3 linked regions of the Tamandua tetradactyla genome follow. The protein of the gene in region 1 interacts with the protein of each later gene in a pairwise test. Links are inferred from orthologs where the notes say so. Each region holds a gene or a part of one and is shown in the gene's direction. Other genes may lie near its edges.

Region 1 (3,745 bases):
ATTCTTTATTCTCTTCTAGAAACCTCTTCCTCCTGTATAGGGCTCTATCTTTTCAATTTCTTTCCTCTCTGACCCCAAACTTTCACCTCATTCTCTTTGGTAATCCCCATTAGTAACCTCCCCCCCCCAAACAACAACAACAACAAACTCCTCCGTTTCATCTCTGCCACAAATCCTGTCACCCCAATCTCTACCCCAGTACCCCAAACTCCTCCCACCTCTCTTTATCACATTCCTATGATCCCTGAAGACCCTGTATTTTTCCAATCTTTTCTTGTCTAACCCCATTGCCCTAATCTTACCCCAGGACCCCAAACTTCCACCTCACCTCTGCCCCAGACCCTGTCACCCCCAAAGTCCTTCAGTCTTCCCCATATCTGCCCTTAAAAACCACCGCCCCGCCCGCCCAGCCCCCTCCCGCGCCAGGCCGGCGGGCTCCCCACATTCCGCCGCCGCGAACCCCTCCCCGCGCCCCGGCCCCTCGGCCTCGGTCTCGGCCAACTCGCTCAGCGCCTCCCTCTCTCCGGATCCCCCTCTCTCCCCCCTCGCAGCTTGCCTCGCGCTCCCTCCCTCGCGTCTCCCTCCTGGCCCCTCTCTCCTCCGTTCCTCCGCGCTCCCTCCTTCTCCCTCTTCCTCCCTTCTCCCATCCCCCTCTCCCAAGCTCCCTCCCTTCGCCGTCCGCTTTCCTGTGCTAGTCGCCGGACGCGCAGCCCAGCTCGCCCGCAGCCCCGCGCCGGGCCGGGGCCTCGGGCCGGGACCCATTTCGAGGGGGACCGCTGGCCTCGGGGAGGGGCTAGGAGGGGGCGAGCGCGGCGACCTCCCGGGGAGGGGGGGCCGCGGGCGGAGGCCGCCGAGGGGGCCCGGATCGCGCGAGTGCGGGCGGCGGCGCAGGTCGGAGCGGCGCAGAGGGCCCGCGGGCGGGGGCGGCGGCGCGGCGGGGACGTTTCGGGCGGCCGGGGAAAGGCGGCCGGACAGGGGAGGGCGCGAGCGGGAGCGGGGACCGGATTTGCTCCTGGGGCCGGCGGGCGATCGGAGCCAGGTGGGGAGGAGAGGGGGGATGGGGGCCGCCCTCCGGGGGGGTCGGGGCCGCCGCCGCCGCCGCCGCCGCGGCGACTGAAGCCGGGTATAGAAGAGGGGGGCGGGGAAGCGGCGGCCGCCGCCCCCCGGAGGCGCCGGAGCAGCGAATCCCGCCCGAGCCAGCCAGCCGTTCCGAGCTACAACCAGGTAAGATCTGCTGCCTCTCGGGCCTCCGGCCTGCCCGGGTTCTGGCTCCCCACCCCCACACGTCCTAGCTCCCCCTCCCGCCGCCGCCGCCGCCGCCGCCTCCGCCTCCATTTGTTATTTTCCGGATCGGATACCCCCACTGCGGGCACTGCCTGGCTTGAGACTAGGGGCCCCGAGGGTGGGGCTGGCTCCGAGGAGGGATAGGGGCCAGGGCACCCGGAGGATCAGAAAGGTGGGGGGGAAAGGGAGGATCTCAGGAGGAGGGCTGATTGGGCAAAGGGGATAGCCAGGACCACCGGACCAAAAGAGGGGGGATACTGAGATGGGGGGGTTGGTAGAGGAAAACCAAGGGATGCCCGTGAGCAGTACTGGGGCGAAGGTAGAAATGACTGGAGAGATGGCAACCGAGGTGGGGCATGAAAGATCCAGGAAAAGCTCTAAAGGCAGGCAGTCCGGCTGGGTTCCAGGGCCCGAGATTGGGGGTGCTAGGAATAGAAGGGAAGTGAGAAATGGGGAAGGGGTGTGGTAGGTGGAAAGAGAGGGATTGTAGCTGATGAAGGAGGGAACGGGACCTGGAAAAACGCTGGGAAAGGAACAAGAGGTCTTTCTTAGAGAGGAAAAACTCGAGGTTTTGGGGGTGGGAGGGGGAAGGTAGTGCCTTTCGGTTCAGTTTTCTTTCCCCCACTCTAGGTCACCTTTGACCCTGTTTTTCTAATTCCAGACTTAGTTACTTTGGGAGAGGGGCAATGGGGTCCAGAAGTGTGGGTCCTCTTAAAACTGAAGAGGGGCAAGACAGGCACTGATGGAAGAAAGGGTTGAGGTAGAGAGAGACAACTGGGCAGACCTCTAAGCATTCGAAAGAGATTGTGGTCTGAGAGTGTGTGGGGGTTCATTACTGCTTTGAGCTCTAAGATTTTTGTGCATGGGCTTGTTTCTGCTGGGGAAGGTACCCTTAAGCTTACTTTCCCAAAGGTGGTAGGAGGATAGGAGTTGCTTTGGCAACTGAGGGGAAGATTGGCTGCCATATGGCCCCTAGGATGGCCTCTTGGGGGTGGGGTGGGGTTCTGCCATTTCGTTGCCATGGCAGTGGTCCAGTGGGATGTCCAATAGGTGGGGGTTCAGAATCTTGACTGAACCCTCAGCCTGTGGCTATGTCCTCAGGGCATAGCAGGGCCCCCAATCCTTAGGGGTCTTGACTGAATTTTGGAGGATGTTTCTGGTGCTGCTAGTTGGTTGATAGGAGGTTCCCCAGGGGAGTGCACCCCCTTCCATCCAGCAATCTTTTGGAATGGGTAGACATGCTACTTGCAGGTCACAGGTATATCTACAAGTCCCTTCCCCCAGGCATGGTAGGAGGATGAAAATGCTCCTAAGTTATATCATCTTTGGCACTTCTTTCTTGCCTCTACCTCTCTTACTACTATGGATTTTTTGTACACAGGTCTTTTTGCTTTTCTGCAATGATATTCTTCCATCTTCTTAAACTTGACTTTCTCCTTCAGTCTGTCTTCCTTAGGACCCCTTTTCCTCTTTCCCAGATTATACTCAAGGTGACCGCTTCCCTCAGCTAACCTTTGACCTTTTACTTTCCTGACTTTGTAGGAATGGCCAGGCTGTCCCCACCCATCCCAATTGAGAGTGGCCCAAGGCAGAGAGCTTTGGGACAAAATGGTGCAGTACTCTGAAATGGGAGGCAGGAGGCCTGGGTCTCTTCTAGTTGTGCCTCCAAGGAAGTGTGACCTTGGGTGAATCACTTCTTTTTGAGATTTGGCTTCATTGTAAAATGAGGGGATTATAGACTAACTAATCTGTGAGCCCCACCTGACAACCCTGGATTCTAAGTCTGCTCAGGCCAGTGCATCCTTATCTGCTTGTCTAGGCTGCCTCGTTATCTAGGAGTTACTTTGGACTGGTTGGTAAATCTGGCAGGTCCTGAATGATGGGGGCTGGGCCAGCAATCTTGAAATTCACCCTGTAGGTCCCTCCTAAAAAGCCTTGTGACTCAGTGTGTTCCTTCTGACATCCTTCCATATTTCTCCCTTAATTTCTTTTCCTCTTCTTGCTGAGGGGTTCTTCCTATTTCTCACAACCCTTTTCCAACTCCCCTTCTGGTCTTGAGCCTTTTCACTTTGCATAAGGTAATGCAGGTGAATGTGTTTAGTGTGTTGCTGACACTTAGGAGGTGCTGGATAAATAATACAGTGAGCAACTCCTAGGGCAAGATGGAGGGTAGCTTAGCTGGTTGGTGCTAAACCTTGTCCCAGGTTGGGGAACAAAAATACAATCCAGTCCTAACCACTCCCTTTCCCTCCCCTCCATTTGTTATCCCCAGTATTGCCTACTCTTTTATGACTGCTTTTCTCCTTCAGAGTTACTAATTGCTAATTTTATCAGATCTCAGCTGATTAAAAAGTTGAGGTGGTACACTACGCTTGTTTTCTTCAGGTGCATACCTGTATTTCTCTGACCTTTTGGAGCCCCTAGCTCTGACTGCCTTGGTGCAGAGGTTCTGTGGCAGGGA
Region 2 (3,745 bases), on another chromosome or scaffold:
GGTTCCAGAAGCCATGTTGGGAGGGGCGACACAGCCTCAGCAGCTACAGTTGCAGTGCCCTTCCCCGTTTCCCGGACCTAACACTGTTTTCCGTCTGTGGGAGACTGGGGGAAGGGAGTCTTTCCACTTCTCTAAACCAATTGACTCAATTGTTTCATGGAGATAATCTACCCTACTTTATGGTCTATTAATTGCACAGACACATGTACTTGCCAATTAAGTATTAGCTTCATCACTGGGGTAATGTGGGCCGGGCCCGGGTGGGGTGGGGGGGAAATGAACATTTGAATTACTAATAAAAATGGTCTAGAAGACTTCTGGTTTTATTTACTCTTGCAATGTTCTGTGTCAAACACTCGGTGAAGTCAAGGAATATTTAGGAGCACCTACTTTTGCTACATAGCTTTGGGGAAAGAATGCCACTGCCCGGAGGACCTTCCTTGAGGTCACGCCCCCGGCTCAGCCGCGGACCGGAAAGTCAAGTCAGCAACACCCGCCGCCAGCTGGAAACCTCTTCCCAAATCTCGGCAGCGGCCCCGCCCCTTCCACAGGTTCAGGCCCCACCCCCTTCTCCCATTGGCCACTCCTCCATCTCCACTCGACCACTCCGAAGACCCGGAGTAGCGGAGTTTTCTAAAGGCATCAGTGGGGCGCCCTGGCTGCGCATGCTCGAGGAAAGCCGGATTCCGGGTCCAGACTTGGAGTCTCTGGGCGGCCGCGGCGCAGCGCGCGGTGTCGGGGCGGGCCGGCGGGTGGGGAGACGCGCACTCGGGCCGCGGCGCGCTCCCGCGGAAGGAGGTGTGGGTTGGGCTGGAGGTGGCGCGTGGCCGGGGTGGGGGTGGGGGGAGGGTCGGGAGTCGGCGAGGGCGGTGTGCGGGTTCCGAGTGGCTGCGGGCGGCCTGGGCTGCCGGGGCCGACGAGCCTGCTGTGAGATGGCGATCCTGGGCGCGGAAGGGTGAGAGTGACCCCGCAGGAGGAGGCGCCGCTGCCGTGGCCGTCCGGCCGCCGGGAGCAGACGGCTTCGCGCGGGTAAGGACGGTGCGGGGCGGTGGTGAGGGGCGGGTGCGGGCCCTGAGCCTCCGCGGCGGGCCGGGGAAACCCGCGCCGTGCGCACCCCGGCAGGACCCTCCGAGGGGCTGTCGGTGACGGTCAGTGACGGCCCGCGCCTTCCTGGCTGCCTCCCAGCCCTGGGGCTCCGAGTTTTGGGGGGTGGGGTCACGGGTCTTGCCCCGAGTTGGCTCTGGCGGAGGCCTCTGCTGCTGTTACTGGAGCCGGCAGAAGTGTTTCCGTGACTCTGCAGCCGCAGTTCTCAAGCTTCCTTAGTCTTCTTTTCGCCTCCGTTCTATCTCTTTTCATTTCCCTAACACCTCCTCACCAAACACAAATATTTTGGCTTAACTGCCGGTACCCCTGGTTTCACCGCAATTCCACCGTCTCAAACGAAGGACTCCCAGCCTTAGAACGTCTTCTTCTGACATGTTTTTATCACCCCCTGTTTTTCACTGACTGCAGTTCCCTTTAAAACAGCTCCCTCTTCCACCTTTGTGACCTGGTAGGTCCCTGTGACCTTGCAGTTTTTAACCAGTCCTTATCCCATCTATGACTTAGGACTTCTTTCTTTTTTTTATTTTGTAGTTTGCCCGTTGCTTTTACAACCTTTAAACTATCTTACGCACAACCCTTTCTTTACTCCATCGATATGGAGTTGAGCTTCTTTTGCTCCGATGATTATGTGAGACCTTCGTTACTGAAGTAGTTGTTATTTTGACATTTTTACTTCTTCATCCAGTGGCCTGATTTGGCTTTACAGTTTTTATTTGATGTTTCGTCTTTTTGTGTAGGCTCATGTGCAAAAAGATATGACTTTCTGCTTTAAGGTGCTACGGTTATAGTTATGGAAAAATAATGTCCCATTTTTTTTCCCTTTGGTCTTTTTTACCTGAAGTATCTGGTTTATAATTGTCTGCAGGTTTCTGTGAGAGTTTATACTTATGTATAAATCGACTTTCTTGTCTTATTAAGTCTCTGTATTAAACAAGCAAGATGCAGTGTATTGCACCTTTTAAAAAAAAGAAGGTATTCTTTTAATGTGACTTGTTTTGGCCATTCAGTAGTAAATCAATAGTTAATCGTTTTTAAATTAAATACTTGAGTTGACCAAGTGTTGGGTGCTACTCAAATTGAGACACATAAAGCATGTGGAATAGTTCATTTCTTTGGGATGTTGTTTATTAACATTTTCAAATAAATCTTCCTTTACAGTGCAAAACTGCTTATAAGTGCTGTGACACCACGGTTTTGAAAAGCAGTGATTTACAGTTACATTTTTTTTGAAGCTTGGCATGATAGAGGATGTCTGCCTTGGAAGAGATCCTAATCTTAGCTGTTTACCCCGTGCTGGCTGAATTTTTTTACTTCCTTACACAATTATTAAGTGTTTACTGCAAGACTGTGTGAGGTATTTAGGGAATACAAAGATGAGGATAACAGTCTCTGCCTTCAAACCTTCCACAGACTAGGTAGGTAGATAGTACTACACAAATGCCTCATTTGTCTTTTATTATATAGCTTCGCTTCATAAATGATACAGAAGTCCCCTAAGGACTTCAAAGTCAAAGGAGGTCGAGCTTATTTCATTCAGCAAGGTAAGGCTAGGGAGTTAGGATGCTTCTGGCTTCTGAAGTCTTGGTTTTGAAGGATTACTGTGACTTTGATAGACAGTGAAAGGTAATACACGCAGAGTAAAGGGTCTAAGAGCAGAGTTCATACATTCACAGAGAGACCAGTAATTATGTTTGATGGAACATAAAGTATTTGTACAGGAATAAAGGATGATAAAACTTGAAGTAAAAATTTGGCCCAGTTTATGGATTGCTTGTAATGCCAGGTTTATCACCTTGGATTTAGTAGGCAGTGAGGTTCCAGAGAAGATTTTTGAGTTGGGGATGCAACGACTAAAGCTGTATTTTAGGATTAATCCAGTAGTCGCGTGTGGGGAGGCCTCCCCATTGCTCTCTGTCTGGGCTATAGATAGTGACGTAAGTATCAGAACTGAGGTGGTGATAATGGGAATGGAAAGGAGAAAGGGAGTAGAATAGACCAGATTTGATGATGAAAGAAAGAATGAAGAAAATATAAAATATCCAAGATTCTGATCCAGATTGGTTGGGAGAATGGTGGTAACATTTTGAGCAAAATCTTTGGAAGCTTTAATCCCAGTGCATGTATGTTATTTTACAGCTGTAGTTGTAATTTTGAGACAACTAACCATCTGAGACAACTAACCCTTTGTGAAACTAAAGAAATCAGTTGGCTTGAAAAATTCCCATATGCACCTGTGCTTTGTGGATTGAATTATAGGGAAATCCATACACCACCTGAAGCTCAACCGTGGAACCTGTGGACCAGTGGGTTGGGTGGGGAGGCAGATCTCAGAATGATCTGGGAGCTTTATAAAACAATAGAACTTTTAGGTTCCTCTATCCACACTGATGAAGAACCCCTGCTGTAGAGGGTACCTAGAGATGTAATATCTTATGCTTGTGTTGTACTTCATAGTTTATAGGAATTTTGACTAACATATTCTTTCCTATTATATTATGAAACAGACTAACCCAAGAGGTTAAATGATTTGCCCTTAGTAAACAAGTGGGTAAAGTGGAATCAGGAGTTAGTTAACTGACAGTGATGGTTTTCTTTCTTGTATGAAGATAATATGATTTACCATCAGTTGGGTATAGTTAGT
Region 3 (3,745 bases), on another chromosome or scaffold:
GGTGGGCAGCCAGCCAGACAGGGGCTGTGGCCACAGGGAGAGGCACGTAACCACGTCCAAAATGGCAGCAGGACAGGGAGGAGAGGGCCAGGGGAACGAATATCACGACCTCTCTTTTCCCATCCCCTGCCGGGTCCAATGCAAAGGGCAGGCAAAGGGTAAAGGTGCCTGGGTCACAGTGCAGTTCATAAGTCAGCCTCCGGGCACAGAGGCACGGCAGAGGTTGGCAAAGGTTAGATCTGGAGGAGCAAGCAGGAAAAACAAAAACTAAAATGAGAACACCGGCACAACAGTAGATGAGATGGCGTTCCCATCTGTGCCTAAGGTGCAGCCGGTCTCAGATCTGTGCTGGGTGGCCTGGGAGGAGCTATCTGTAGGATAGCTAGGATATCTGAGGAAACCGAGGCAGGGACCCTTTCGGAAAAGGCACTGCACCCTCATTCCGTGTTTTGCAGGTTCCTCCTCTCAGGACCCAAGCCCTGAGGTCTGCGCTCCAGAAGCCACAGCCTCCAAGCTGCCCTTCTCTGAGGAGGCTACCATCGGGGGAGCTTGGAGGACGGGGCCCCGACTCTCCCTCTCCTCCTCCAGAACCCACTCCCACGCCAACCTCTCAGACCTCCCCTTAAACCACACCCAGCCCTGGCATGGCCTAAGCGCCGCCTAGGACAGATCTGTCCGTGTTATCTGCGTATTGACTGTTCTCCCACCAGATGTCCTGGGAGACAGGGATTTCTCATGGTCACATGATCCCACCCCTAATACCTACCCAACGAGTCAACGAATGAGTGCTCTGCGTGGAATATTATTAAGCCACGGAGGAGAATGAGATAAACCTCTCTCTGTGGACCTGACAGTATGTCTGTGATGCACCGAGAGAACCCAGTTCCATAAGGTTAAGCAATGATTTAAAACCCAGCTGCTACGCACACAGCGATGACATGTAGAGACTGACTCCTGTGCTCCTCACACAACCCCGCGAGGCACTATTATCCTCCTCTCTATAAACAAGGACGCAGGGCAGAGTTCAGGAAGTCGGGCTTAAAAAGGGCTTTAAAAAATGATCAGAAAGAGGACCCGAGTATGTCGATAAGCACTAAGACGCCAATCCCCGGCTCAGCAATAGCACAAAAGAGGACGTGGAGGGGCTTGTGGGGACAGGGGGCTCGGGGGCTTCCCGGGGATCCCAAGTCCGCAGCCCGACACGACGACCACCAGCTCCGCCGCCCTCTCTCCCCTCCAGGCCCCACCGTCCTCTCCCGCCGCCCAGGGCCCCACGACCCACAGCCACGCGCGCCATTCCTGGGTGGAGGCCTCTCCTGACGCCCCCGCTGAGTTAACCATCCTCTCCTGGGCTCCCACGTTATAAGCCATGCCCATCAACCTAGTTCACAGCAAGGAGTAAAGATGGTTACCACCAACCCAGCCCAAACAAGGAAGCCCGGAAGGGAGAAGAGCGCATCAACGACTCACGCCTGCGCGGCGTGTCCCTTCGGGGCCACCGTCCCAGCCCTGCTGGCCCGCGGCGGCCCAGCGCTTTAATATGCGTAGGTGGGAGGCCGGGCTCAGATCCGGCTCGCGGCGCACATTGGCCGGGCAAAAGCGAGGGAGGCGGGGCGCGGCCTCCTCGTGACGTCAGGACGCCGCGGTCCGATCGTCGAAGCCAAAAGAAGAGAAGAGCCGGCCAGGTCGCCGAGCGGTTCCGCTGTCGCGTCGCTATCGCTTTGAGGCACCGCTGACGAGTCCCGGGAGCTCGTGGTCGAGGCAGGTAGGGACGGCGGCGAGCGATGGGGGAGGGGGCGTTTGCTCCCTCAGGGCTTATGCCCGGCGGGCCCCAAGGCCTGCTCGGCAGTCATACCAACAGCCGTGGCGCGTGAGCGTCCACAGGGTGGGGCGGGCAAGGCCGGGCACTGCGCGTGCGCTTCGGAGCGGGAACGCGGGCGGGTCAATGCGCATGCGCCGTGGTCTTCCGCTTTTCATCCCCCCCCCATCCCTGCTCGGGAGTTCTCGGGTCCCGGAGGCGCCCCACCTGCCATTGACAGGACGTTTCCACGAGCAGGGCCGCGTTGCCCCGGGAGACAGGCGTCCCGCGAGCAGCGTTCCTCCCCCCAGGGATCCTGGTGCGCAGGCGCGGCGTGCCCGGGGCGGTGGCTCCCAGGCCGCGCGGCCTCTTCCACCCCGCGCCCTTCTTCGCCTGCCTCGGTCCTGCTGGACGACCAGGTGCTCCCCGGCCGGTCTCCCAGCTCCGTGCTCCCCTCGTGAGGCCCCTCTGGGACCTCGCCCAAGACCCCACCCCCTAGGACTGTCCCCACGGACCCCCTGCTTCCGCCCAGGTTCTGTTTGCTCGCTAGGGCTTCGCCGGGCCCCAGATTCCTGCCCCGTCTCTTCATTTCTCATCGGGCTTCGCCTTTGACCCCACCCCTGTTCCTCCCTCAGGGACATTAAGCCCTCTTCAGTCTCGGTTCCCAAGACCCTCTCTTTCCTTCGGCGCTTACCACCCCACTCTAGTAATAACTTCCTAAAGATGTTTTGCCTGTTCAGCAACCCCGAAGCTTTATCCCCAGGTCCCCAATTAAGAGAATCGATTTCTTTTCCTCTTTCCCAGGCTCATTTCTGAAACCTCCCCTTTACGTTTCTGCTTTGCTCTTAGAGAGCCTTTCTGAAATCAGTCTTTAAAAGCCTAATCAGAACCCTTTGTTTCGCGTGATGTTCCCATCCTGTACTCTCTCACTTTTCCCTGCTTCTAGGGTAACTTGTAGAAATCTTAAAGTTCTCTCTGTCCCAGCCCCTCCCCTTATCTCTCAGTGCTCCTTCATCGGCTTTCCTTTGTATACAGGGTTCCTCCAGAAGTTTCCCCAAGCTTTTGTCCCTAAGGGATCACTCAGACTTTGCTCCTTCGGTTGACCTGTTACTTCTGTTTCCCTCTGAACCTTTGGCTGAAGTTCCCCTGTCACATTCTCCCGACTTTCCTCCAGCCTCTCTCAGGGCTTCCCTCACACCCTTCTCTTTTGTCATACGGATTTCAGACCCTTCCCTCTCCGTTTGGGAAATGCCCTCAGACCTATTTTCAAGTCCTTCCTTTCCCCCCTAGAGCATTTCGGGGAGTACATGGGCGTCCCCTCATACTCCAGCCCTTTCATTCCACACCCAGACTTCAAATGCTTTTCAGATTGTTTGTCTCCGGAGACTTCTCTTTCCCAGTCTCTGGCATGTTTCTCATTTCTTTTTGAGTCTTCCTAATCCCCTCTTTCTCTCGCAGACAGTGAAAAAGCAGTCTGGCTCCCGAGGTCCACCCCTTACGCCCCAGGGTCCAGATGGCGGCCAACGTGGGTGATCAACGTAGCACAGATTGGTTAGTGGGGCTGGAGAGAAAGAGGAAGTAAAACACAGTGTTGTCCTCGGGGTGGGACCTCACACAGGGTGGAGGGAAGTGATGAAACGGATCCCATGATGGGAGGTAGGAGGGGTGGGAGTGAGGCTCTTATCTGCCAGAGGACAAATGGAAACTGGTCGTAGTGTGGAGAGTGGCAACATGCTCTGGGTTCTTATTTTCCACAGTTCGGTGCTAGTGTCAGAATTGTGATGATCTCCTCAAGGGATTATAATTAGGTGGCAACTTCCAACCTTCAGTACTCATTTATCTTTCTGCTGATTTCTCTTTTTTTCCCAAACTGTGATAACCTGATAACTTGGGTAGTGTTTTCAGACAGAGCTCATTAACTTACAAAACACTTGCATGCCAGGTCCT

What was found.
Region 2: the proteins of ATN1 (region 1) and WWP1 interact in a two-hybrid assay, tested with the Homo sapiens proteins (2 studies listed by BioGRID and IntAct). The link is inferred for Tamandua tetradactyla from reciprocal best matches to the Homo sapiens genes ATN1 and WWP1.
Region 3: the proteins of ATN1 (region 1) and LENG8 interact in a two-hybrid assay, tested with the Homo sapiens proteins (2 studies listed by BioGRID and IntAct). The link is inferred for Tamandua tetradactyla from reciprocal best matches to the Homo sapiens genes ATN1 and LENG8.

The regions. Positions count from the first base shown.
Region 1 is NC_135333.1:69,229,548-69,233,292, forward strand, and holds the start of ATN1 (atrophin-1), read left to right. Parts: upstream 1-1,077; 5' UTR 1,078-1,224; intron 1,225-3,144; exon of another isoform or gene 3,145-3,745. UniProt on the Homo sapiens protein: Transcriptional corepressor. Recruits NR2E1 to repress transcription. Promotes vascular smooth cell (VSMC) migration and orientation. Corepressor of MTG8 transcriptional repression.
Region 2 is NC_135332.1:129,830,019-129,833,763, forward strand, and holds the start of WWP1 (NEDD4-like E3 ubiquitin-protein ligase WWP1), read left to right. Parts: upstream 1-842; 5' UTR 843-1,029; intron 1,030-3,745. UniProt on the Homo sapiens protein: E3 ubiquitin-protein ligase which accepts ubiquitin from an E2 ubiquitin-conjugating enzyme in the form of a thioester and then directly transfers the ubiquitin to targeted substrates.
Region 3 is NC_135342.1:5,048,512-5,052,256, reverse strand, and holds the start of LENG8 (leukocyte receptor cluster member 8), read left to right. Parts: upstream 1-1,599; 5' UTR 1,600-1,765; intron 1,766-2,098; exon of another isoform or gene 2,099-2,217; intron 2,218-3,256; exon of another isoform or gene 3,257-3,260; 5' UTR 3,261-3,311; coding exon 3,312-3,349; intron 3,350-3,745.